7 linked regions of the Callithrix jacchus genome follow. Each later gene encodes a partner of the first gene's protein in a complex. Links are inferred from orthologs where the notes say so. Each region holds a gene or a part of one and is shown on either strand. Other genes may lie near its edges.

Region 1 (3,500 bases):
GGAACTGGTATGTCTTCCAAAGGGTGAGGTGGTTTTGACCCCGGGTTGCCCGGCCAGCACGACCAAGGAGGTGGCTGGACAGCTGGAGGATGAACGGAGAAGCCGACTGCCCCACAGACCTGGAAATGGCCGCTCCCAAAGGCCAAGGTAGGGGCATTCATCCCCAGCCCTCTGAAAGTTAAATCCTCTTTTTCTCATGGCTGCGGGGCTCACTCCCTTCTCAAGGGCTTCTCCATACTCTGAACTGGGCAAGAAAGTGCCTTAAGTATTGATGAATCAAGCATCTCCCACACTTGAGGTGTGGTTGAATTCAAATTATTTGGCCTGGAATGGCTCACTTCTCCTTTCCCTCATCCCCTGAGTTTGAGGCGGCATGCCTTCTGGGGTCCCATTCAGCCTGAAGTGTGTCCCGTCTCAGTGTCCTGGGATGGGAGGAAGAATGAGTGTAGAGGAAGGGGCTGGGGAAGTCGTCTCAGGGTTTTTATTAAGACGATGAGGCTTTTATAGAGATAGGTGGAGAAAAGAGGTGTTTTAAGGCCCCAAGCCATGGGCTATATGTACTCACCTAGACCTCTGCCTCACTCAGCAGTGATCAAGTCTGTATGGGGCTGGAAGGTAGGATGAAGCTGGGCAGCTGGCCATGCTTGGGGGATATTGAAGGGAGAGGGGATTATGGGTCCATGTGACCTGCTCTGCAGAAACCCTGGCCCAGGTTAGGAGATGCAAATGAAAATGGAGAGGAGCCCTTTTGACTTTTGGCCTTGGGTGGCTATTCTCCCAGCCCATCCGCAGAAGCCTAGAGTGCTCTCTGGAGCTGCATTTCCGTGGCTGAAAATAGCTAGTCCAGACCTGGTCTTGCTTCCCTGGGGAGTTGGGCTGACAACACAGCTTGTTATTCTGGGGGTTCTCCCTGGAGCAGGGCCCTGAGAGCTTTTGTGCACCTGCCTCCCTTACCTCAGAGCTGCTCTGTATGCTGCTTCTGTTTCTGTTCCCTTTTTCTTGTTTGCCAGAAATTCTTCCTTGATCTACGCTGAGGGGCCTGGGGGTGGAGGTGTCTCTAACACTGGTTTCCATCTGTGCAGCGCAGACATCTGCATGGGTTTTCCTTACTGCCCACACCCCCTTCTCAGTCCTTGCATATTTAGGGTATCCTAAACTCGGAACTTGAGCTTGGCCACACATTTAGGTATATTGCCTCCCTGCTTCCCACCTTCTCTGACAAGCTACCTGTTTCCCACAAAGCCCTGAATCACTATACCTTCATACCCACTCCTCTTCCCTTACAATAAATAGCTGCTGGTAGCAGCCTGGCACGGGAGAAATGATAATAACTTTGAAGCAAGCCAGACTTGTGTTCAAGCCTTGCTTTTTTTTTTTTGAGACGGAGTTTCATTCTTGTTGCCCACGCTGGAGTGCAATGGTACCATCTCCACTCACTGCAACCTACACCTCCCAGGTTCAAGTGATTCTCCTGCCTCAGACTCATGAGTAGCTGGGATTACAGGCGTGTGCCACCATACCCAGCTAATTTTTGGGTTTTTAGTAGAGACAGGGTTTCACCATGTTTGCCAGTCAAACCTAGCTTTCTAGGTATGGCATGTTCTGGACTGGAGTCCCTGCCTTGATCCAATATGGCCACAGTTGGCTTAGAACTGAGTTACGTTTTATCTCTGCCTTCAGATGGGAAGCAACCAGGGGCTGGGATTTCCTAGGGAAAAAGGGTTGAGCACTCAATAACTGGGGAACAGAATAGGGGGATAGCATGAGCCAGGTACGATGGCCTCTGTTACCCTTCACCAGATCGCTGGTCCCAGGAAGACATGCTGACTTTGCTGGAATGCATGAAGAACAATCTTCCATCCAATGACAGCTCCAAGTTCAAAACCACCGAATCACATATGGACTGGGAAAAAGTAGCATTTAAGGACTTTTCTGGAGACATGTGCAAGCTCAAATGGGTGGAGATTTCTAACGAGGTAACTGATCCCCTTCCTGACACACATGTATACACATCTCCACATACACCTACCTCAGCTGTGGTGGGGGGAAGTGAAATAGCCAGCTGTAAACAGGAAGGAAAGAGACCAGGAGAGGTGTTTGTGTGGTCGCCTGCTAGCTCTCTACCTGCCCTTGTGCACTTTGGGAGGTGGTGTGGTTGACAGCACTGGCTTAGAGTTACGCCACTTTCTATCGGTCTTGAGCCAAACAGCCTGAGCTGTGCTGAGATTGAAGGAGGTGCTGGCATGGAGAGCCAGGTAGAGGTCATGTCGTCCGCTTGTTGCTGGCCTTTGGTGTGCACTGACTGCCTGGGCCTCTGCAGTAGGCATGGGCCAGGGCCTGGGTGTCATGCTGCCTGCTTCATTTGGCTGTTGGCCTCTGCTCTTTGGTAACTTTAGTCCAGTGAAGAGTAGAAGAGACCCGTTTCAGGATGGGAGTACCCGTGGTAAGATAGGGATATGCTACTGTGTGGCATTTTCCTTTTCTCAACTTCCCCTCCTTTCCTCTCCTCTTCCTCCAGGTGAGGAAGTTCCGTACATTGACAGAATTGATCCTTGATGCCCAGGAACACGTGAAAAATCCTTACAAAGGCAAAAAACTCAAGGTGAGTTACTAGAAAGAGGCGCATGAAGGGTAGGGGAGGAAAGGTCCAAATAACAGATGGTATATGACCTCCATTATGTCCTTGTCCCTCCTTCCAGAAACACCCAGACTTCCCAAAGAAGCCCCTGACCCCTTATTTCCGCTTCTTCATGGAGAAGCGGGCCAAATATGCGAAACTCCACCCTGAGATGAGCAACCTGGACCTAACCAAGATTCTGTCCAAGAAATACAAGGAGCTTCCAGAGAAGAAGAAGGTGGGGGGAGGAGAGCTAAGGTGGGAGGAGGGGAGAGGCTGGGAGCAGCTGGGGTGGTGTGGGTCAGTTGGAGGTAGGCCTTGGAGGGACCTGGCATCGGGGACAGGTGAGTCAGCACAGCAGAGTAGGTCCTGGGCAGTCACACCTGATTGCCCCTTCCTCAGCCCACAAGTGGTCAGGCATGGGCACCGTCACAGACGTAAACCAGACAGCAGGTGCTCAGGCCAACCTTTCCCCCTGTAGAAAACCCACAGTGTTTTGTTTTATAAGGCTCTCCCCCATCCACCCATCCTCACTGTCAGGCTGCACAGCACTTCTTCCCTCTCTGTGACGCTTCCTGTCATGGTCTCATTTGATACTTGCAGTGTTTTCGAAAAGGAAACCCAGGAAAATGTTATCCCAGTTTTGTGTGCAGGAGGGTTACGTGGCCTGAGTGACACAACTGTTAATGCTATAGCAGGATAGTGTCCCAGAGTCCCAGCCAGTGCTCTTACTGCCACGTCCACCTGTGAAGTACACCTCTCCACACACACACATGTTCACTCAAGGACACACATTGCCCCTCCTGGCCTCATGCTCTTCCTTGCAGAGGTCGGGCACTGTCTCAGACCATCAAAGCATTAACCCTGAGCAGGGGGTTGCCCA
Region 2 (4,267 bases), on another chromosome or scaffold:
ACTACAGCTTCTGTCCTTCACAAGAGAAAATAGTGATGGCTTAATTATTCACAAGTGATCTTAGTTATTTATAGGTGATCTTAATTCTTTTACTAATGCCTCTCAGGTCTCAGGCCGGAAAGTGAGAACCTGGGGTGACATTGTGAGGGCAATGACCCTAAAGCAAGACGCTTTACAGCAGCTATGCCTGCATAAGGGCGACTAGGGCCGCCTCTGCTGTGCTACCGCGTCAGCACTGAGAAAATGCCCGCTGTTGAGCCAGCTAGGGAAGGAGGCGTCCAAAGCTGGCTGAGACGTCTCATTCACCGGGGGAGTTAAGCGAAAACTCCACTCCTCCAATCTCTTGCCTTAGGCCTGACAGCTGTCAGGTAGACCCACAGGCATCCGGGGGCTTATTTGTCTCTATGTGATGCTGTGCTTCAGTGGTCACATTCCATGTCCACTCTCATGTCCTACTTCTGTACCAGGTTCCTATTTTCTTAGAAGAGATAATCAGTAAGAGTAATATAAACTTAATGTCTTTGTTCTTTCTTAACAAGTATGGAAAAGTGCTAACGCATTAGGCTCCTTGCCTCATCCCGGCTCCTAGAAATTCCTGGGTCCGTACCTGTATGATATGTGATGTACTTGACCCTATCACTGCTACGCCCCATCTACCTTTCCCCTGGTTGCTGACCACCAACCACCAATGCCACACCTACTTACCCTGCCCTCAGCTTTGTACTCAAAAAAAGTCAGAATGCGCAGACACGACCGGGGCCACTGCCGGACTCCGCGATCTGGCTGGCAGTGAACCCCCCCCACCCCACGCCACCCCACCCAAACTTTCTATCTCTGTGTCTTATGTCTTTTATTTCTGGTTTCTTTTCTCCACACCAACAGAGAGGGGCTCACAGAACCCTGTAGGGCTGGACCCTGTACCTCCTGACTTCACCCTCACCACTTGCGGTCCCTCAAGAATCCGACTTACCCCTTACAAGCGGCGAACTGTTCCCAAAGCACACAAGGCTAGTTGCGCTCTGCTGAAAGCCCACGTTCTCCAGCGGGACCCAAGGAACACTAAAACTGTACGTCCCAGAACACTTAGCTTTCTTTTTAACTACTCTGCAGCCGCAAAAGGGAAAAACCTGCTCAGGATCAGGGATAGTTGTAGTTCTCTAATCCAAAGAAATCAGTATTCAGCAAAATACAGTTTTCAGGGGGATATCTCCCGGGACTCGGTTCCTGTAGGATGTGAGACAAAGAATAAATATCCGAGGATTGGGTACTGGTGGGAAAATTTGCTGGAAGCGCAGCATTGGCTACGAATTTTGTGCTCAACGTCTCAGCACTAGGGTGAAAGTGAAGCCGCAAACTCCCTTCGGAGAGGTTAGGCTCCATCTCTAAGGCTCCCGAGACAAGGTTCGCAATTATTTATGACGTCACAACCAATTGTCAGCCCGAATGCGTGACGCTCTAGCCGGCTCTAGCTCGCCGCTGAGCGGCGGGCGTAGAGCTGCCGCTCTAGCCCATGGAGTTGGCTCGCTCCTCTCGCCGGCCCCAGGAAAGGGTTGCAAGTCCTTTACTACCCGACGCTAGCTGGTAAGCCATTCCGGGCGTTTCAGCTCCCTGGTCACAGAGGCAGGAGGCGTGCGTGGGAGGAGAGCTCGGGTTATATACTCCCAGGTACTGGGACAGAACTGTTATGACCTCTGTGTTGGGGGGATTCCTCTCTTTTTGTTAATATAACTTCTAACTCCCTCTTCAGGCCTGACCGCATATGCGTCATGGACCTAGCCAGCACTTGCTCCAGCTTTCAGTCGGACTTGGATTTCTGTTCAGAGTGCGGCTCGGTCCTGCCTCTGCCAGGGGCTCAGGATACGGTTACCTGTACTCGCTGTGGCTTCAACATCAACGTTCGGGGTGAGAGGCTTGTACGCAGTGGTCCTGGCGGAGGGTCCAGGGTCGGAAACTTGGGGACCTCAAGATCGGCAGGGGACCCTAGAGCAGGAGATCAGGCAATTGTACATTTGGTCTCGAGATGAAAAATGAAGGAAAGGATATAGGGCTTCCTGGCCTAACCAGTCAGGGGAAAGGGGAGGTTTCCGGTGTCAGCTCCCTCTGGTTGTCTCCATAACCAGTTCTTACTTGCCTGTGCAGACTTTGAGGGGAAGGTTGTGAAGACTTCAGTTGTGTTCCACCAGCTGGGGACAGCCATGCCTGTGTCGGTGGAGGAAGGGCCTGAGTTCCAGGGACCTGTGGTAAGTTAATGAGCTCAATGACTGGCTCCATAAGGTGGGTAGGAAAGAAACGGAGGAATGATTGCAGAGATCTGGAGAGTTGTGTGCCCAAGTCCAAGAGGGAAAAGAGATGTAAAGCATCCATGTTTGAGAGGAGTGATCGCCTGATTCCTGTGGGAAGTGAGGGGATATGAACTGGCCTCCCTAACCCACCGGTTTCTTCCCAGGTTGACAGGCGCTGCTCTCGATGTGGTCATGAAGGAATGGCTTACCACACCAGACAGATGCGTTCAGCAGACGAAGGGCAAACTGTCTTCTACACCTGTACCAACTGCAAGTGGGCATCCCTTCCCCTCCCTCTGCTCAGTCTGTTTGCTAACTAAACAAATCCAGTGATTCTGTTGTTGTTGTTCTAAACCACCATTTCCTTTCGTCCCATTTCTGTGCAGTTCTGGTAATAAGAACATTTGTGGTTGGTTTTTTTTTTTTATTTTTTTTATTACACTTTTTTCTTTTTTTTTTAGTAGAGATGGGATTTCTCTGTGTTTCCCAGGCTGGTCTTGAACTCCTGAGCTCAAGCGATCCACCCACCTCAGCCTCCCAAAGGGCTGGGATTACAGGCATGAGCTACCCTGTCTGACCTACTTTTAGGATATATAAAAGGAAATGAAAAAACAAACAAACAAAAAACATAAGAAGCAGGTATTGTTTAGTGGTCGGCATCTTATACTGCAGTCTTCAACTGCAGTCAAGGTAGCTTTACATTGGAGAAAATTAGTCACGCACGATTTAGGGAACATGGGCTTTCTGAATTATTTTAAGACATCATCTTTGTCTTTGGTGTCCTTCAGTCACTACAGTATATAAAAATGTGATTTTTTAAAAATTCCGTTTGGGATTTGTTGCACTTTCTGAAACTGAGAGTGAATTTTTTTTTTTTTTAATCAGCCTTGGAAAATTATCAGCTATCATCTCATTTAATATTGCCTTTCCCCCATGTTCCCAGTCCTCACATTCTGGACCTCTAATTAGTTACAAGAAGAGAGGTGTCTCTTTTGTCCTCCATTTCTCTCACCCTCTTTTCATATTTCAATCGCTTTTCTCTTTATGCCACCTTCTGGGTAATTTCTTCAGGTCCCTCTTCCATGTCACTAATTCTGTCTTCAGTTTATTTTAAATATTATTTTTTATTATTGCTATTACTTTGAATTCTATTTACTTTTCAAATCTCCTCAATTTTTAAATAATTTTCAGTTCCTTAATCATATTTTAAATTGTTCATTCTTTATATATTTAAAATATTAATTATGGTTATTATAGTCTATGTCTCATAATTCTGATATCCATGGATTTTGTCTTCTGATGCTGCTGTCTTTTGTTTCTGCTCTCTCATGGTGCCTTTTTTCTGTTTTGTGATTTTGTCTATAAATTTGAGTTTTTTAGAACTTGAACTGTAGGAATTCTTTGAGACCTTGAGTGAGTGCTGTATTCTCAGCATTTGCATTTCTTTTCCTTGAAGCACTATCAAGCTGGAATTACTTTAAATAAATTCTTGGCTTCATGTTTTTTGGAGCAGACAGATAGTATGAATTTGAGCTGCAAATCCACGTAAGGGTTAGCTTATGGTTAGAAATTCTCAGGAGAGAGTTTTCTCTCCTGCCTACTAAGACAAATTCCCCTTCTATAGAGTTGAATTTTTTCTTTTCTTGTTCACTTTTACAAAAAAGGGCAGCTCTTTGCAGTTCCCAAATTTATGCAGGGAATCTCCTATCAGACCTTTTACATTTTGTCCCTCATTTCCTATGCTTTCAGTGACCGTCATAACAGTATTAAGGGCACCATAGTGTCACGTTTCATTGGGACTTCAGTTTTCACTGTCTGGATTTCTGGTTTTGCATAACTTTTACCAGTGTGAAGTTTGCCTTTACTTTCTCACCATCTCATCAATGGATTAAAAATATTCACAGTCAGATATATCTTTTAAGAGTATTTTTTCCTATCGCTGGTTGTCATTTTACCAAAAAAAAAAAAAAAAAAAGATTTTTTTT
Region 3 (4,113 bases), on another chromosome or scaffold:
TTTGATTTCTACCAGGACAACCTGGGGCGACACACCAATACCAACTCCAGGACATGGGACACACCTAGGTTTACTTTTCCACCTGCAGGGGATTCCATCTTGCTTACCTGATCAGCCACCTGCCGGCTCAGCTGTCCCTTAAAGCCCTTCATGCCCAGGAACTCTCCATCCTCTTCTTCAGCAGCAGCCGCATCAGCGTCTGCATCAGCGTCTACTTCTTCCTCGCGCAGGCGCTGATGCAGTTCACCCATATCCTCGAAGCTAGAGCCTGAGGTATCATCCATGTTCTCCATGTCAATCACAGCTGAGCCTCCGCCCTGTTAAGACAATGGCTCCTAGAGTGCAGGACTTTTCTGTTCCATCCATTAAGTCCTCTGCTCATCCCAGGGCTTAGGGCTTTGTTCTTCCACTGCTGAGGATACGGCTTGGAATCACTACAGATCATGCCACTCCATTCCCCCTCATTTGCTCTCAGAACGCTTGATTTATAGCTTTGGCTATCTTTTCTAGCCTGGGAAACCAACTAGTCTTCCATTCATGTCTTTCTCCTACCTTACCTATCAAAGACTAAAAGCTTGAAAAAGAATCCATTTCTGTCTTTCCAAAGCCCCAAACAAAACTATGAACACAGTATGTTTTCGGCGAGTGCCAGTGAATCCCACCCAACCCCACTCCAGGCCTGACCCCAACCAACCTCCTAACTTGTTCCAAGAATACGTTCTTCCTAACGCCTCGGGCGGGCCCAGAGACCCGAGATCCTCAGGCTGGAGTAGTAGACTAGTCTGGCCCTTTCAGGTCAATGTTAACTCCACTGACTTTTGTGTGCAAGACCCAAAGAAGGCAGTTTTGCAAATGGAGTGAACTTCCAGGCCCCGAGGGAGAATCCCCAAGACACTTCTGGACATCGCCGGCCCTCGGGTTGCTGGCATCTGGTGCCTTGGGGCCATTACCTGGATGTTTTCTTCGAACCCTCCCCATTCCGGGCCAGCTCCGTTTCGGGCGCCGCCCGTCGGCGCCGCTGTAGTTGCCATGCCCTTTGAGGGCTCCCGTCGCTGAAGCCCGCGATAGCCCCGCGCGCAGGGAAGTGTGCGAGATGTGAGTCCCAAGAAGGGAGAGGTCCCAGGTCGCGGAGAGGTGGGATCAGCCGGAACACAAAAAGGAGAAACCCGGATGTTTGGACAAAACCAACTTCCGGAAATTGGGGACGTGGATGAAGGTGGAGCAAAGTCTCGCGATATTTAAGATTCCAGGAGGCGGTGCGTTGCCACGGAGATGGAGCAGTGCTGCTAGAACGCACGCGCCAGCTAGAGCCTGTAGTCTTTTGGAGAGATTGAACATGGCGGCTACTCAGGCCGTGGAAGAAATGCGGAGCCGCGTGGTTCTAGGAGAGTTTGGGGTTCGCAATGTAAGACTTGTGTCCTTGAGCTCAGGCGGGAGGAATGAGAGCGGAACAGGGATGGGTCTTGGGATTGGCGTGGGGATAGCCGTAGGCTCACTGTCCATTTGTGGACAAACTCATCCCTTTGCTCTAGGTCCATACCACTGACTTTCCCGGTAACTATTCCGGTTATGATGATGCCTGGGACCAGGAACGCTTCGAGAAGGTCAGTGGGGCCAGAGTTGTCCGGGGATTGTTAGGAGGGCCAGACCCTGTGGTCTCAGCAGCATGTGTCTGTCTCAGTAGCTGCTCTTGGGGGTCGCTCCGTTTGTAAGTTTTGTTGAGCAATGTGGTAGACCTCCGTTTACAGGCCAAGTTAGACACAGTTTCTACCCAGTTCTGCAAACAAGATGTTCAGTCTTGTTGAGGAATGGTGCGTATAAACAAGTGAATCTAGTTTAATATGGTAAAGGTGGTTGATAGCTGTGAAGATGGCAGGATTCGTGTGGGGAACATTATGCTGAGACCAGGAAGAGGGGCCCAGAGGTACTTAACATTTCTTGAGGAGGGAAGATCTGAATTGAGCTTTGAACGGTAAGTAAAGAACAGGAGTTAAATTAGGAAGGCTTTGAGTTTCAGGTCAGTGAAGTTGAGGATATACAGGTTTTGTGTGTATTTAGTCTATTATTGTTTCACTTAGCTTAAAATAAGGATTAAAATTGCATTTAAATAGATCACTGAATGTTACTGTTTATGCAACTGAACTGTGTGTGCAGTTTATAAAACATGATCTATAAATCTGTGCTTGGGAAAATTTTACTTTTTTTAACCTGTTGATACAGGAATAAAGTATGAACAATGAAAAAGGCTAATGCTTGAAAAAAAGTTATGGTGTGAATTGTGCTCCGGGAATGTCCAAGCAGTTCTGGCACTAGTGGTAGGCAAGATTGAAGTGTGTCTTGGGCACTGTTGATGATAGGGAGCTTGAATAGTTAAGCAGACATGATTAGATTTGCAACCCTGATAGCTGGGAGGGAATGAGTTTGAAGAGGATCGTATGGAGCAGGCAGATCTGTTGTAAGGGAAGCTGAGGTTGAAGGTATGAACTAAGACTGACGGTAGAAAGAGAGCAAAGGAAGAAAGAAGGTAAATTTGTGATTGCTTTGGTAAAGGCTGTTGGGGTAGCATAAAATGACTTTTTGACTTGGGAACTGCTTTGATGCATTGTGGTATCATTTACTGAGAGAAGAAATGGGTCTGGGGAAGAGGAATGATGATACGTCGTTTCCTGCATTTGGAGAAATCTAGCAGGCTAGAAGACTGCATATTTGAAATGAGATCAGAAGGGAGGTAAAATTTTGGGAGGTGTCAGCACAGATAGTTGCTAAAACCGTTGTTAGTGTGGTTAAGGTCACCTGGGAGAGAGACCAGAACCTGGTAGATTTAGAGATGGGTGGACGTTGTTGATCATCAGAGAAGGAAGAATGGAGCTCAGAAGCCAGGAGAATAGTTCAAAAAAGGAGGGGATTTTTTTTTTTTTTTTTTGAGATGGAGTCTCTGTTGCTCAGGCTGGAGTGCAGTGGCAGGATATCAGCTCACTGCAACCTCTGCCTCTTGGATTCAGGCAGCTCTCCTGTCTCAGCCTCCTGAGTAGCTGGTATTACAGGTGCACACCACCATGGCCGGCTAGTTTTTTGTATTTCTAGTAAAGATGAGGTTTCACCATGCCAGTCTCGAACTCCTGACCTCGTGATCCAACCACCTTGGCCTTCCAAAATGCTGGGATTACAGGCATGAGCCATTGCGCCTTTCCAGGAGGGGATTTTTTTAATCAATGCCAGGCGTAACAGACGTCTAGTAAAAGGACTGTCTAGTGTCAGCATGACTAAGCAGTGAGGTGGGTTTCTGTTCTTAGGACAATAGCTTCTGTGGATGGTTTGGTTGGGAGCCATATTGGATAGGGTTTTAATGAATGGAAGACAAAAAATGGACACTTTTCATGAACCTAAAGCAAGCACTGGACGAGAAAGAACATTTAATAAGGGACGTCTGGGCAAAGGGTGGTTTTTGGATGAGTGGATAATACTTGGAATCATCTGAGGGGGAGGTATGAAGAGCTATTACAAAGAGAGCAGGCTTCACTTAATCTTTTTCCTGTCCCTCTAGAATTTCCGTGTGGATGTGGTACACATGGATGAAAACTCACTGGAGTTTGACATGGTGGGAATTGATGCATCCATTGCCAATGCTTTTCGACGAATTCTGTTAGCTGAGGTATTGGCAGGCATGGTGACAAGGTTGGATTTGCTTTGGGAACTGCACTGACACTTGGAGTGTCACTTGGAGAATTAAGTGTCTCAAGCTGTCCTTCCCTTCTTATTTTTCCTGGAGTTTTGCTGGCTAAGGATTTTACCTTCTCATTCTTTGTAAACTTCTCATTAAACATTCTAGGAAGAGAGATAGCTCCCTACCTCTGGAGGTTGGAGTTTGTGGGGATAGGTAGGGGGTCTATTGGGTTTTTGCTGATAAGTGATTTTTTCCTTGGGCAGGTGCCAACTATGGCTGTGGAGAAGGTCCTGGTGTACAACAACACATCTATTGTTCAGGATGAGATCCTTGCTCACCGTCTGGGGCTCATTCCCATTCATGCTGACCCCCGTCTTTTTGAGTATCGGAACCAAGGTGAGAAAATGAAATTTTGGGAGAAGTGGACTGTCTGGGTTTAAATCCTGGTT
Region 4 (4,000 bases), on another chromosome or scaffold:
AAGGAATGGAGGCAGCTTCCAGAAGCCAGAAAAGGCAAGACAGTAGACTCTTCCTCAGAGCCTCCCAAGGGGAACACAGCCCTGCCGACATTTTTAGTCCAGGTAAAAACTCCCAGATAAAAATGATATAGGCCAGGCATGGTGGCTCACGCCTGTAATCCCAAGACTTTGGGAGGCCAAGGCGGGTGGATCACTTGAGGTCAGGAGTTCGAGACCAGCCTGCACAACATGGTGAAATCCCATCTCTACTAAAAATACAAAAAGTAGCCAGGCATGGTGGCATGCACCTGTAATCCCAGCTACTCAGGAGGCTGACGCAGGAGAATTGCTGGAACCCGGGAGGCAGAGGTTGCAGTGAGCTGAGATCACGCCACTGCACTCCAGCCTCCATCTCAAAAAGAAAAAGAAAAAAACTATAGATGACAGTTGGAGAATTTGGAAATTGATTCTTTAAAGCAACTGTTCTCCAAGTGTGGGCCTTGGACCAGCACCATCTGGGAACTTGCTAGAAATGCAGACGCTTGGCCTGCATCCCAGATCTACTGAATCAACAGCTCAGGAGGCAGAGGAAGGCTGAAGCAAACTTGCCACAAGCCCTCCAGGTGGAGCTGAGGCTCACTCAAGTTTGAGAAGTACTACGTTAGGATAACGGTGAGGTTTATGACTGGATACTGGTTCTTAAAGCATGACCCCCAGATAAGCAGTCTCAGCATCACCTGGGAACTTGGGCAAATTATCAGACCCCACCCCAGACTCACCCAACTGGAGACCGTGTTTTAATGAGCCCCCCAGGTGCTTCTGCTGATGCACACTTGCCAGAGTTTGAGAACCACTGCCTAAAGCTCTCCCTGCCTGACCAACCCTTGCAAAGCCTCACTCTCAGGAGGCATTTGTACTCTTATTTATAAAGCCTGCTTCTTAGGATTTAAGAACAATCACTAAGATACCTACTTATTAATACAGTGCCTGGCTTATAGTAGGTGCTCCGTAACAGTTCGTTAAATGATTAATACAATACAACACCGAGGAAATTGGTGAAGCAGATGTGGGATTCGAACCCACAATCACCCAGCCTCCACTACTGAGACTCCAGGGAGCTTTATTTTCGCCGCCCACGCGCCGCCTGAACGCCGGGTCCGCCAAGACCCAATGACGCCTGACTGGGAGGCGGGACTTCCTGCCTTCCCAGGAGGCACTTCCGGTTCAAACGGTAAAGCCGTGAGTGGCCGCGGAGGGGCTGAGTGCCGGCTCTGTGGTTCTGTCTGAGGTTTCCCGCGTGGTGTCGGGGTCGGGCGAGCTTCACGCCGCGGCCCATTTTCTTGAAAATCACGATCGGACCCGGGCCACGTAAGTGCATCTGCCTCCTCCGCGCGGACTGGGCGTGTTCGGGAGGAGTGCACCCGCAGATGGAGGAGGAGAGAAATCCCCGAATCCCCCGTCCCCGGCCTGGCGTCAGTGCGGAGTCCTGAAGCCTCGGAAGTCTAAAGGGTCCTGGGGAGCCTGCAGCGAGGGCGGGAAGCCGGCTAGGGAAGTCGAGGCTGCCTTGTGGGAGGGCTTTTGCGGGGTCGTGCGCTCCACCTGCGTAGGATCGTTTCAGGCTGTGCGGTTCCGAGGGAAAATCCTTTTGTTTCTGTTTTATTTTTGAGACAGAGTCTTGCTCAGTCACCCAGGCTGGAGTCCTGTGGCATGATCTTGGCTCACTGCAACCAGTGCTTCCCGGATTCGAGCGATTCTCGTTCTCCAGCCATCCGAGTAGCTGCGATTACAGGTGTGCGCCACCACGCCCGGCAGATTTTGTTATTTTTAATAGAGACAGGATCTCACTATATTGGCCGGACTATATTGGCTCAAATTCCTGGCCTCAGGTGATCCGCCCGCCTTGGCCTTCCTAAGTGCTGGGATTGCTGCAGGAGCCACGGCACCTGGCCAAAGGGAAAAGGTTTTTGTTTAGTGAGATCCTAATGCCAGCCTTCGCGTTTCGGTGCATGGGAGAGCAGTGGTTCAGAGCTCTGCCTCTGAATCAGGTGCGAATCAAGCCTTGGCTGTGGCACCTTAAGAGCTGTTGTACTGAAGTTCTTGCAGAGCCTTCGTTTCTTGAATTCCGTAACAGGGACGGCGATAGAAGAGGAAAACGTTTAGCAAGTGCCTGACAGGTAGATGCCTGGCGCTTGGTCAGTGAGCTCTGCTGTTATTTCTGCCCGTTATTTTTGCTAATTAAAAAGGAGGGATAACATGGCCACTCAAACTTCCAGAGGACTGTGGAGTTTTGTTGTGTTTTTTGGTTTTGTGTTGTTTTTTTTTTCAGATGGAGTCTTGTTCTGTTGCCAGGCTGAAGTGCAGTGGTGCCATCTCGGCTCACTGCAACCTCCGCCTCCCGGGTTCAAGCGATTCTTCTTTCTCAGCCTCACAAGTAGCTGGGATTACAGGCATGCACCACCCTACTAGCTGATTTTCTATTTTTAGTAGGGATGGGGTTTCTCCGTGTTGGTCAGGCTGGTCTCAAACTCCTGACCTCAGGTAATCCACTCACCCGCCTCAGCCTCTGAAAGTGCTGGGATTACCAGTGTGAGCCACCGCGCCCGGCCCCTTGTGATATAAATTTATTTTTATTCAACCCATAGTGCATTTTCTGTGGGGTCACTATGCTTGACAGTAGGAAGACGATGATAGATGCAGTCCCTGGCTGTGGAGTAACTCGAGCTTTATCTTGGGAGTGTGTATAGTCTAAATGTGTGATGACGGGGCTTAGGAGCTGTGTGAGAGGCTGCCCCCACCAGCAGTCTGGTCCATCACCGCTCTCCACCTCGCTCACCCTGCGGCTGCCTCATTGTGTGAGAGGCTGCCCCACCAGCAGTCTGGTCCATCACCGCTCTCCACCCCGCTCTCCACCTCATTGTGTCTCATACACGTCACTGCTCCAGGATTTTCACACTTGCTGATGGTTCTGCCTGGAACCCTCTCCCCAGCTGTGTACATAGCTCTGTCCCTCACTAAGTTCAGGCTGTGCTCAATGCCACCTTCTCAACAAGGCTTTTCCTGGCTGGCTTTGCTGAAACAACACCCTGGGCCTGTTAGCAGATCCAGCTCTCCTGGGTGGGTGGCTAGCTTTAATATAGTTCCCATTACTGCTTGGCGTTGGGCTACATACTCATTCGTTTTTTATTATCTGCTTCCTCAAAGAACATATGCTGCTCATAGTGCCCTTTTCACTCCTCAGGAACCGTGGCACCCCTCACCAGCTTCCAGTCTCTCGAGGTGGCCAGTGTGCTGCTTGGTCCTTGTTCCCAAGATGGACTTTCCCAGCTCCCTCCGCCCCACATTGTTTATGACCGGCCCCCTTGGTCTGAACGATGTCTCTGACCTGTCCATGTGCAGCTGGCAGAACGTGCTGACTCAGCCAGAGGCCCAGCCCCAGAACTTGAAGGTAAGGATGGAGGCAGGGGCCCTGGCAGCTCCAGGGTGCACCCCTTCCCTGGTTCCCCCATCTAACATTCACCCCAGTTGACAAGGCCACAGAGTGGGGTGGCATTCTCACGAGTCTGCTGAGACACAGGCTGTGCCACCTTCTTGGGCTACCCTGCCATCCCTAGACGGATGCCCCCACTGTGCCAGATTCCTTATGAGGTGCTGGGAATGCTGTGTCAGTCAGCCAGCTGACCTCCTGCTCCTGGCACAGAGAGCTAAGTTGAGCGAGAATAAACAAGTGAACCTCATTCAGCGGATAATGTGTTTACAAAATGTGATCAGAGCTTGGAGTGAAACCGGAAGAATGCTGAAACAGCGTGGTGGGATTGGGAGAGGGAAGGATAGACCTGCCAGGGTTTCTGGTGCCTCTGGAGGGACACTGGCTCTTTGCTTGGAATCCTCAGCCACCTGGTTCCCCTTGGAGATACCCTGTCTAGAAATGGAGCCTGGCAGAGGCAAGCGGGTGAACAAATAAAAAGAGAGAGTGGAGCAGGGATTTGGGGGATGGGAGTCAGGGATGGCCTCCTTACGAGGG
Region 5 (4,067 bases), on another chromosome or scaffold:
GCACAAGAATCACTTGAACTTGAGAAAAGGAGGTTGCAGTGAGCCAAGTTCATACCACTACTCTCCAGCCTGGGTGGCAGAGCAAGACCCTGTCTCAAAAAAAAATTAAATTAAAAAGTGGAAGCTAAACATTGGGTACACATGGACATAAAGATGGAACAGCAGACACTGGGGACTACTAGAGCAGTGAGAGAAGCAGGGGAGCAAAGGTTTAAAACTACTTATTGGATACAAAACTACCTATTGGAACTTGGGTGACAGGTTCAACCGTGTCCCAGACCTCAGCATCACGCAATATACATTTGTAACAAACTTGCACAGGTACCCCTGATTCTAAAATAAACGTTGAGAAGGGGAAAAAAGAATGCAAAGCTTGTTTAACTTACAAAATTTACTTAATATACCACTTTAGTAGAAAAAAGGAGCAAAAAGCACATGATCATTTCAATATACACTGAAAAAGCATTTGGCAATAACACTCTTGGGAAGAAAACCTCTCAACAAACTAGAAATAAATTACTTTCTCAACTTGATAAAGAGCATCTTTGGAAAAACCCACAGCCTACATCATATTAATGGTGATGTGAATGCTCCAGTTGGGAGCTTTCTTCCAACATCAGGCACAAAACAAGTATATTTATTCTTGTCCCTTCAACATTGTACTAAATGTTGGACGCCCCCCTACCACAGCCTCTCCATCTGAGACCGCCCGACCCCTACCCCACCTCCTTCCCCGGGCCTCCCCCAGGACTCCAGTCCAGACGATGCGGGGAGGTTAGCGGGCCCGACCTTGGCCTTCCAGGGGTGAGCCTCGCGATTTAGGAGTTGGGTAAAGAGCCCGGGGCCCGGCATCCGATTTTTCATTGAAACAACGACTTTGTCCGGATGACTCCCCAGGGTCGGCATCAGCGTGGGACTTGGAACAGGTTAAGGGACCGGATAGATGGGAACCTGAGAAGACCGCTTACCTCCAATCCTAATTGACTGAGCCAATGAGAGCCAAAGAGGTCACACGCTCAACTGGGTGAGGAGTGGGTTTCGCCTTCTTTAGCAGAGGAGGGAGATGCGTGGAGCGGAAGATGGGAGAAGGGGCGGACCCGCCACGCTCTGGCTGGATACAGCTTTAACCGGCCCGTTCACTCGACGGTTTTGGTTCTACGTCGACCCCATAAAAACCGTAGGGCCTAGGGCGGGCGGAACAAGAGGGAACTACATTTCCCAGCAGGCTGCGGAAGCGGGACTCCGGCCACTACTTCCGGCGCGTACTGAGCGACGGGTGTTAGGTGTGCAAGTAGCCGCATGGATCCCTGCAGCCGGTGGCGAAACCTTCCCAATGGGCCTAGCCTAAAGCACTTGACCGACCCGTCTTATGGAATCCCGCGGGAACAGCAAAAGGCAGCGTTGCAGGAGCTGACGCGGGCTCATGTGGAGTCCTTCAACTATGCTGTGCACGAGGGTCTCGGCCTCGCGGTGCAGGTGAGTGCGGCATCCACTGGCGCCCTTGCCGCGGAGAGACCAAGCTCGAGGCTGGCGGGCGAGAGGGGCCAGGCGGAGCTGGAGGAGGGAGGGGCGGGGGTGAGGTCTGGGCCTTGTGGGGCGCGGGCGGTGACAGGGTCCCAGAGAAATGGCTCAGAGGCCACAGTGTGACCCAAAATGCGTTTGCTCCTTGATCCTGACAGGCTCAGAGGGTAAGCGGGAGAGCACACGTGTTGAACAAGACGCAGAGCTGGGCCTCGTGGAACGTGTATTCGAGTCGTCTAAGAGATGTATTCGTGATTTCTGGATTGAAAAGTGATTGCGAACCATAGTTTCTTGTTGGATAGTTTCTGGGTTCTGTGAGAGTGAGGAAATGGCTTATTGGGGGTGTGCTTCCCAACCATTCACAATGCACATGCCTTTGTATCACTTGAAGACACCTCTCCAAAACGTACCTCAAAATATTCTGAACGTATTTGTAGGTACAGTGTAATGTACAAGGTTATCCTTCAGTTTCCTTTTCTTAGAGCTTTAAAGAGAGAAACTACTCATTTGTTCTGAATTAAGTAGGTGCTAAAGAAGGTATAAATGAGTCGTAAAGGCAAGATTGAATCGAAAAGTGTAATAGCATTACTAGCGTAGGGTAATGGTAGCAGAATTGAGGTGAGGATGGTGGGGGAAAGTTTCGTTTAGTAAGTATCCCCAGTGTCTCTAGGCACTAGGCTCTGAGGATGTGAAGGCCGCAGTCCCGTGTAAGAGACAGTTCATACATTTAAGTGGTCCCTGTCGTGTTTTGGGGTTAAAGGAGTGAAGATAGGAAAGTAGTCCATGCCAATACGCGAGCACTGCTCTGTCAAGGGATTTTATGGGCTACTGTGGGAGCATATAGGCAGCGCAACTAGTCCAGGAGTTTGAGAAAAGGCAGGATTAGATGAGTTCAAGAGGTGAGAAACATGCATTCCGTCCAGGGGAAGAGTAGAGCAGAGTCACATGCTTAGGGGACCCTACCTGTGGTTTTGTTGTGTAAGATTTGTGTTGTGAGAGATACGGGTAGAGATAATGTGAAGAGCTTTGATTGCCAGTCTGATACTTGAACTCTATTCCGCAAATAATACGGGAGGCATTAAAATTTATTTTTTGGGAAGACAAGAGTGGTGGGGATATTTGTATGTATTGTGCCTGGATTCTTAGAGTATCATGTCTGTGAGAAAAAATACCTAATTAAAAGTTAATTAGACCAGGTACAGTGGCTCACACCTGTAATCCCAGGACTTTCGGAGGCCGAGGCAGAACGATGGCTTGAGCCAGGATTTCAAGACCAGCTTGGGTAACATAGTGAAACCTCGTCCTCTGTAAAAGTTAAAAGATAGCAGGGCATGGTGGTGGGCACATGTGGTCCCAGTTACTTAGGAGGCTGAGGTGGGAGGCTAACTTGAGCCCAGGAATTCAAGGCTGCAATGAGCTATGATTGTGCCACTGCACTCCAGCTGGGGTAACAGAGCGAGACCTTGTCTTTAAAAAAAAGATAATCAAATTGAGAAATTTTAGAAAAGCACTAATTCGGGCCGGGCGCAGTGGCTCACGCCTGTAATCCCAGCACTTTGGGAGGCCGAGGCAGGTTGATCACGAGGTCAAGAGATCGAGACCATCCTGGTCAAAATGGTGAAACCCCGTCTCTACTAAAGATACAAAAAATTAGCTGAGCATGGTGGCACATGCCTGTAATCCCAGCTACTCAGGAGGCTGAGGCAGGAGAATTGCCTGAACCCAGGAGGCGGAGGTTGCGGTGAGCCTAGATCGCGCCATTGCACTCCAGCCTGGGTAGCAAAAGTGAAACTCCATCTCAAAAATCAATCAATCAATCAATCAATAAACCAATTGATTGGGTGTGGTGGCTTTTGCCTGTAATCCCAGCACTTTGTGAGGCTGAGGCAGGCGGATCACTTGAGGTCAATCAAGAGTTCCAGACCAGCCTGGTCAACACAGTGAAACCCTGTCTCTACTAAAAATACAAAAATTAGCCGGGCATGGTGGCACATGTCTGTATTCCCAGCTACTTGGGAGGCCGAGGCACGAGAACCGCTTGAACCCTGGAAGTGGAGGTTGCAGTAAGCTAAGATTGCACCACTGCACTCCAGCCTGGGCGACAGAGCAAGGCTCTGTCTCAAAAATAAATAAATAAACAGAAATAAAAATAAACCAATTGTATGTTAACATTTTTATGAAAATCATTTTTCAGAGCAAAAAAGAAATTAGATGAATTGCATTATTAAAAATCTTTTTAATGTCTGGCTTAATGAAAAGACAGCTGGATTCTCATGTCTGCTTCTGCATTCAGCTCCTTGTGATACATTGTTTTGGTTGAAGTAGATGAAGAAAATTTGGCCCTGCACAGAAAATAATGTCACAACTTATCTAGGACTGTAATAATAACATATTTGAAAATGTTCTGTAAAACACAGTAAAGTAAATGACTACTATTTATAAAGCCAAGGGGAAAAAAAAGTTTTATCATATTTTTATGTACTTACAAAATGTAATTTTGCCTACTTTCTTTGGAGTGAATTCCTCTTGTGAGTCAGAATTTATGG
Region 6 (3,500 bases), on another chromosome or scaffold:
GTAAGTCTTCCACTTTATGGCTGAGACAGACAAAAATGTAAAACTCGGGCAAAACCAATGGGAGCAGGGCAATTTACTGTCACTTCCCGGGTCATTTCCAGGGTCCAGGAGGGGCCAATGAGACGTCTGCAGCTGCTGGAGGAGTTAGGAGTGAGGCCGCGCGTTGCCTGAAGGCCTTAGGCGGGTTTTGCGCATGCTCATATAAAGCTCTCCTAACCGATCTTCCGAAGAAAATTTCACGTGTTTCGGGGTCAGAGACTGAGTTTAGCTTTACTGAGGAGCTCTAACTTTAGGCGGGTAAGTGCCGCGGATATCGCCCGTGGTTCCTGCGTTTAAATGGAACGGGAAGGGGTGTGTCAGAAGTCATCCATGTTCTTCTGATATTTCCTCCTAATACTGAAACTATTTTTTGGGGTCTGAGAACGAGAGAAGGGGGATGGAGAAGCTTCGGTTGCTTCTTTTGGATTTTTGAGGATTTGGGAAGGGAGGATTTGTGTAACTACTCCTCAAAATACTTGATGGGTCAAATTTAAATTCAGTTTTTACTTATAACTCATACTCCTAGCCACAGAATTTGATTTTAGAAGGTTTACTCTGGCTGTAATGCAAAGAAGCAGACTCCGAGGCAGGGTAGTTGTTTAGAAAGGTAACGCAGTAATCTAGACACAGTTTTAAGGGGTCTTGAACTAGGGTAGTGCTGTAAGATTGCAGAGAACAGGGGAAATTGGGGAAATTTAGGAGGTAATATCAGAGGTACCAATACTCGATTTCATAAGGGTAATGAGGGAGGGGCCCTGAGCATCTTTAGAAGTACGTCCAAATTCAGCTTGGCTTATGATTGTCTTTCTAGGTTCGCTTCTCACCTTCCGCACCCCTCCTCCACACACACCCCGAATTCTAGTCATGGCCAAGTAGTTTGGTGTTCTATTTCCTTTTTTTGTAACATCACCTTTCTTTGTAACGTTAGGCAGGTTTCATCATTTCACTGAGCCCCTCAGTTTTTTCAACCTTAACATGGAAGAAAGTAATATACTCACCTCAGGATTGCTGTGAGAATTATATTAGATAATTTATACTTCTGGTACATAGTAGGGGCCTAATATTAGCTACTACTACTATTATTGTACTTCTTATATTGTTTTGTTATACAAATAATAACAAAACTTTATTTGTAGCTAATTTTATTCATCTGGACTTGACATTTTTTAAATTAGAGGACAGTATCTTATTTTTCTTTATATAGGCTTGAAACATTGGTAGTTTGGTGTTTTTTTTTTTTTTAATGTATCATTTATTTTGGCTGTTGCTGACATAATTCATCTTTTACTTTAAAAGAGCTCACAGGTGTAATTCATTTTGCTGATCTAATTATATTTATTAGATAAAAAGATGGCTGTTTTTCTGTACAACTCAGAAGACTGTATTAAGATGTACAGAGAGTAACTGGTATTCTCAGTCTGTAATAGGTATGAGTGATTTCAGTGAAGAATTAAAAGGGCCTGTAACAGATGATGAACAAGTGGAAACATCTGTGCTCTCTGGTGCAGGAATGCATTTTCCTTGGCTTCAAACCTACATAGAAACTGTGGGTAAGTAAAATAATAACACTGAACCATTGTAACTTTAAGAAGGTGGTAAGATTCCATACAGATACAAAATAACCAGGCTGGTTTAATTTTCAAGATAGGACTATATGGGGGTATTTTTTAGGCCATAAGCCAAAGAAAAAAAAATCTTTTTTCTTTTAGAATTTTTTGCCCTTGGATTAATAATAGATAGTCTGTATTATGCTAGATACACATTTTTTTTTTAGTAATACTTACTGAACACTTTTATCTCTGGCATTGACTATATATTTGAGAGTTATAGATGAAGAAGATACGGTCTCTGCCATTGAGGAAAACATACCTAGGAAGTGTTCCAGAAGTTACTGTTGAATTGCATTGACATTATTTCTAATAGATTTGGTCATGAAATATATATATATATATTATATTTATTAGATATATATATTATATGTATATATATTTTATATATATCATATATATGTATCTATATATCTATATATATTGAGACCAAGTCTCACTCTGTCTCCTAGGCTGGAGTGCAGTGGCCTGATCTTGGCTCACTGCAACCTCCGTCTTTGGAATTCAAGTGATTCTCTGGCCTCAGCCTCCTGAGTAGTTGAGATTACAGGCAGCTGCCACCATGCCCGGCTAATTTTTGTATTTTTAGGAGAGATAGAATTTCACTATGTTGGCCAGGCTGTTCTTGAACTCCTGACCTCAAGTGATCTGCCCACCTCGGCCTCCCAAAGTGCCGAGATTATAGGCATGAGCCACTCTACCTGGCCTAGATAAAAGAGCATTTTCTACATTTTTATCTAATGTAAATGCAAGCATGTTTTTCTATGGGATAGTTTTCCTATAAGAATATATTTAATATAAATAAAAGAAGCAATTATTTGTATGCTGGCATGTTAAGTGGTATAGTCCGGGGAATACATTTGAACCAGCATTTTACTTATTGCCCTTAAATATGTATTTTTTGCCCAGCCTTTTCTCCCCTTGACAGAGATTCCTTGGCTCCTAAAATTTTGCTTTTATTTTTTTATATTAATCTAAGTATCATCTCATTTAATGATCTCAGTAAGTTAATACTCAATAATTTTTGTGCTAGACAGTTTAGGTGGAAGGAAACTGAATCTCAAAGACATTACGCTCTTAAGTGGTGGTATCAAGAGTCAAACCCAGGTCTGTTTGATCTCAAAGACTACGCTTTTAATCACTGAGGTATATTTTTTAAAATGAGATAGTATACTTCAAGTGCCTAGCATAGTATCTTACGCATAGTGAGTGTTGAAAAATAATAGTGCCTTTCCTCTCCTCGTTTTATTTTTGCTAAATTAATGCACATGGCTTAAGGCAGATCTGAATGAATGATACGTCAGAGATAGTGCTACCTCCTCCCTGGCAGGGAACTAGTAATTTAAATTCCCTCTAGTTATGCCATACTTGGGCATGTTTCTGTTACCAGTGTTCTATAGAGGGTCTGAGTCAGTCTGCAAGTAGATACATTTAAAACCAAAGACCAAAATTTACATGCTTAGAAATATTTTACATGTCATAGATGGCCTGTTAAACCCAAAATACTGTTGGTCTGCAATGAGAAAATACTTGCAAGTAATATTGACATTGTTCTGGTAATTAACTATAATAGGAAAACAAAATTGCCTGACAATTACTGTATTTATTTTTTATGCTGGTAGGTATCTTTTGGCATTTTGAAGGGCATACCCAGCAAGCCCCTTATAATAAAAACTTTGAAGACGGGACAAGTCTGGATTGAAGCTCTATGATGAGTACCTAGAATAGTGCTTGGCACACAGTGGTGCTCAAAAAATATTTGTTGACAGATTGATACGTTTCCAGATTCTTTCAGTAGCATATTAGAAGTTAGGTTGATGACAGTGGTTCTTTATTGTACATCTCTATTCCATG
Region 7 (2,619 bases), on another chromosome or scaffold:
CTCACAGAATTGCTGTGAGGACTAAATGGCGTCATGTTTATAATGTGCCTGTTGTTAAAATGCTGGCATCGAGTTACCAGTTACCATTTTTAAATGGCATCTTTTATATTGTTAATTACTGTTAAGAATAACTTTGCTACTCTTGCTCCATAGGGCTGACCAATTTGAGTATGTAATGTATGGGAAAGTATACAGGATTGAGGGAGACGAAACTTCTACTGAAGCGGCAACACGCCTGTAAGTTACATGATCTTGTGAGGATTGTTTTCCCCCTCCCTGTTCTGAGACTTTGAGTTATGCTTCTGCTTCCTCTGTTGGGTCCTTCTCCTTAGGCACCTCAGACATAGGTGGGAACTAGAAAGAAATGGTTATTAGAGCAGTTTCCAGTCTGAATTGTAGACTGCCCTTTGTCAGGCCCTCCTGGCCTAGTGGTCCAGAAGAGAAACTGGTCATCTCCCTGTTAAAGTATGGAGGAACCAAATGCAGCATTAAGTGATTATACTATTAGGCTGTGTGTGTGTGTGTGTGTGTGTGTCTTTTCCTTAAAATCTTATTAAAACAATATGTGCTGTTTGTAAGTAATTTGAAATGCGGAAGAGAATGTGAAGAAGAAAAAAAACCCTGTCATTCCATACCCAGAGAGAACCTTTTACATAGACTTTTTTGCATATCCTAGTGTTCTTTTTTTAAATTTATTTTTAATTTTTTGTTAATATCCTAGTGTTCTTAACATCTATATTTTTCCTTTGAGACTGCGGTGTTAATTACCTTTTTTCTGCTTTTTGCTTAACATTATGTAAAACATGTTTTGGCCGGGCGTGGTGGCTCACACCTGTAATCCCAACATTTTGTGAGGCCGAGGTGGGTGGATCACCAGGTCAGGAGTTTGAGACCAGCCTGGCCAACATAGTGAAACCCCGTCTCTACTAAAAAAATTACAAAAAATTAGCTGGGCATGGTGGCAGGTACCTATAATCCAGGTACTTGGGAGGCTGAGCCAGGAGAGTTGCTTGAACCCAGGAGGCGGAGGTTGCAGTGAGCTGAGATCTTGTGCCATTGCACCCCAGCCCAGGAGACAGAGAGAGACTCCGTCTCAAAAAAAAAGAAAAAGAAAAAGAAAATGTTTCCCCATGTTAGTGTAAAGCTTTCTTAAACATTTTAATAGTTAGATAACATTTCAGTAAGTGGATCCCATTCCCCTGATTTGGAGCATATAGGTGTTTTTCGACTTTGCTAATAGAAAGAACAATGCTGGCTGGGCGCAGTGGCTGATGTCTCTAATCCCAGCACTCTAGGAGGCTGAGGTGAGTGGATCACCTGAGGTTGAGAGTTTGAGAGCAGCCTGACCAACCTGGAGAAACCCCATCTCTATTAAAAATATAAAATTAGCCAGGTGTGGTGGTGTACACCTGTAATCCCAGCTACTTGGGAGGCTGAGGCAGGAGAACTGCTTGAAACCGGGAGGCAGAGGTTGCGGTGAGCCAAGATCACACCACTGCACTCCAGCCTGATCAACAAGAGAGAAACTCTGTCCCAAAGAAAAAAAGAACAGTGCCTTACACATATCTGTACATTCATCTTTGTCAGAATTTTGGTTCCTAGTGACAAAACAGTAGAAAGATGTTATTCTCTTTGTTAGGCTGAGATGGAGAGCTGCTGAGTAGTAGCTGCTCCAGACTCATGGCATGCGGCCTTCTGTTTCAGCTCTGCCTACGTGTCCTATGGGGGCCTGCTCATGAGGCTGCAGGGGGATGCCAACAACCTGCATGGATTTGAGGTGGATTCCAGAGTTTATCTGCTGATGAAGAAGCTAGCCTTCTGAACCTCGCCTGAAGCCAGCCTTGCTGCCACGTCACTCAGGTCCTGGACATCGTTCTAGCTTGAGTTGCAGCTGCTCTTGATTACCTGTTGAGGAGGGGCTGGTTCCCTGTCCACTGTGGCTGCATCTTTAACTGGCCTGCACTCAGTTAGAAACTCACTCGCCTGTGAAAGACACAGTGGGAGAGCTTAAAATCAATAGGAAGCTTTGTGTATATGATTTTTAATCAAATGTTACTTTTTCAGACTGCCCCTCCCCTTTTTGTAAAAAGTTCGTTTACTGTAAAATCATTTTTTCCAATTTGTCTGTGGTGTACTGTTTCTGGCCCGCAGCCAGCTGATCACTTGCCATTGTAGGATCTATTCCAGCCTTTTGGTATCTGGGTTCAGGGTTATCCCAGTCTCCTGGCTGACTGTTCCCAACGTTTATCCTCCAGTGTGGTTTTCTGTCTGGGAGAGGGAGTGTTGTGCTTTTGGCTCCTGAGGGCACCCCAGGCCCAGAAGATACCACCCATTTGGCACAGAAGTTTGAATTGGCAAGGAGCCCTGCTCGTGTCCTTCCAACACTTTCAGTCTCTTAGAGAGTCAGTTCACATTGACTTGAATGAGTCACTTGCATAGTCTCATTATTTCATTATTTTTGTGGAAGATTTGGGTAGAGGCTTTTAGCTACAGGCATGGGGGATGACTCTGAAGAGTCGGAGGAGAGGACTTGGTGCTTCCGGAGGCAGGTGGAGGAGCTGGCTCTCTGCTCTACATTCCAGTGGTGACCCGGGAGGGAGGGTAAGTGGAAGTGGACAG

Evidence for each region.
Region 2: UBTF (region 1) and POLR1H share a complex: the UniProt entries of both Homo sapiens proteins name them as parts of the pol I pre-initiation complex. The link is inferred for Callithrix jacchus from reciprocal best matches to the Homo sapiens genes UBTF and POLR1H.
Region 3: UBTF (region 1) and POLR1C share a complex: the UniProt entries of both Homo sapiens proteins name them as parts of the pol I pre-initiation complex. The link is inferred for Callithrix jacchus from reciprocal best matches to the Homo sapiens genes UBTF and POLR1C.
Region 4: UBTF (region 1) and TAF1C share a complex: the UniProt entries of both Homo sapiens proteins name them as parts of the pol I pre-initiation complex. The link is inferred for Callithrix jacchus from reciprocal best matches to the Homo sapiens genes UBTF and TAF1C.
Region 5: UBTF (region 1) and POLR1B share a complex: the UniProt entries of both Homo sapiens proteins name them as parts of the pol I pre-initiation complex. The link is inferred for Callithrix jacchus from reciprocal best matches to the Homo sapiens genes UBTF and POLR1B.
Region 6: UBTF (region 1) and TATA box-binding protein-associated factor RNA polymerase I subunit A share a complex: the UniProt entries of both Homo sapiens proteins name them as parts of the pol I pre-initiation complex. The link is inferred for Callithrix jacchus from reciprocal best matches to the Homo sapiens genes UBTF and TAF1A.
Region 7: UBTF (region 1) and POLR2H share a complex: the UniProt entries of both Homo sapiens proteins name them as parts of the pol I pre-initiation complex. The link is inferred for Callithrix jacchus from reciprocal best matches to the Homo sapiens genes UBTF and POLR2H.

Annotation. Positions count from the first base shown.
Region 1 is NC_133506.1:71,067,274-71,070,773, reverse strand, and holds part of UBTF (nucleolar transcription factor 1), read left to right. Parts: intron 1-22; 5' UTR 23-89; coding exon 90-147; intron 148-1,800; coding exon 1,801-1,976; intron 1,977-2,518; coding exon 2,519-2,602; intron 2,603-2,699; coding exon 2,700-2,855; intron 2,856-3,500. UniProt on the Homo sapiens protein: Recognizes the ribosomal RNA gene promoter and activates transcription mediated by RNA polymerase I (Pol I) through cooperative interactions with the transcription factor SL1/TIF-IB complex.
Region 2 is NC_133505.1:34,798,452-34,802,718, forward strand, and holds the start of POLR1H (DNA-directed RNA polymerase I subunit RPA12), read left to right. Parts: upstream 1-1,467; 5' UTR 1,468-1,510; coding exon 1,511-1,581; exon of another isoform or gene 1,582-1,747; coding exon 1,748-1,902; exon of another isoform or gene 1,903-1,980; intron 1,981-2,139; coding exon 2,140-2,240; intron 2,241-2,446; coding exon 2,447-2,556; intron 2,557-4,267. UniProt on the Homo sapiens protein: Core component of RNA polymerase I (Pol I), a DNA-dependent RNA polymerase which synthesizes ribosomal RNA precursors using the four ribonucleoside triphosphates as substrates. Can mediate Pol I proofreading of the nascent RNA transcript.
Region 3 is NC_133505.1:51,998,629-52,002,741, forward strand, and holds the start of POLR1C (DNA-directed RNA polymerases I and III subunit RPAC1), read left to right. Parts: upstream 1-1,313; 5' UTR 1,314-1,336; coding exon 1,337-1,405; intron 1,406-1,532; coding exon 1,533-1,604; intron 1,605-3,544; coding exon 3,545-3,652; intron 3,653-3,927; coding exon 3,928-4,060; intron 4,061-4,113. Other genes in the region: protein YIPF3, read right to left, coding at 108-317, 951-1,031. UniProt on the Homo sapiens protein: DNA-dependent RNA polymerase catalyzes the transcription of DNA into RNA using the four ribonucleoside triphosphates as substrates.
Region 4 is NC_133521.1:41,830,479-41,834,478, reverse strand, and holds the start of TAF1C (TATA box-binding protein-associated factor RNA polymerase I subunit C), read left to right. Parts: upstream 1-1,200; 5' UTR 1,201-1,347; intron 1,348-1,650; 5' UTR 1,651-1,768; intron 1,769-2,110; 5' UTR 2,111-2,153; intron 2,154-3,217; 5' UTR 3,218-3,289; coding exon 3,290-3,424; intron 3,425-4,000. UniProt on the Homo sapiens protein: Component of the transcription factor SL1/TIF-IB complex, which is involved in the assembly of the PIC (pre-initiation complex) during RNA polymerase I-dependent transcription.
Region 5 is NC_133515.1:22,055,078-22,059,144, reverse strand, and holds the start of POLR1B (DNA-directed RNA polymerase I subunit RPA2), read left to right. Parts: upstream 1-1,267; 5' UTR 1,268-1,299; coding exon 1,300-1,476; intron 1,477-4,067. UniProt on the Homo sapiens protein: Catalytic core component of RNA polymerase I (Pol I), a DNA-dependent RNA polymerase which synthesizes ribosomal RNA precursors using the four ribonucleoside triphosphates as substrates.
Region 6 is NC_133520.1:17,669,556-17,673,055, reverse strand, and holds part of TATA box-binding protein-associated factor RNA polymerase I subunit A, read left to right. Parts: intron 1-101; exon of another isoform or gene 102-297; intron 298-1,456; coding exon 1,457-1,589; intron 1,590-3,500. UniProt on the Homo sapiens protein: Component of the transcription factor SL1/TIF-IB complex, which is involved in the assembly of the PIC (pre-initiation complex) during RNA polymerase I-dependent transcription.
Region 7 is NC_133516.1:13,344,881-13,347,499, forward strand, and holds the end of POLR2H (DNA-directed RNA polymerases I, II, and III subunit RPABC3), read left to right. Parts: intron 1-153; coding exon 154-237; intron 238-1,704; coding exon 1,705-1,822; 3' UTR 1,823-2,119; downstream 2,120-2,619. UniProt on the Homo sapiens protein: DNA-dependent RNA polymerase catalyzes the transcription of DNA into RNA using the four ribonucleoside triphosphates as substrates.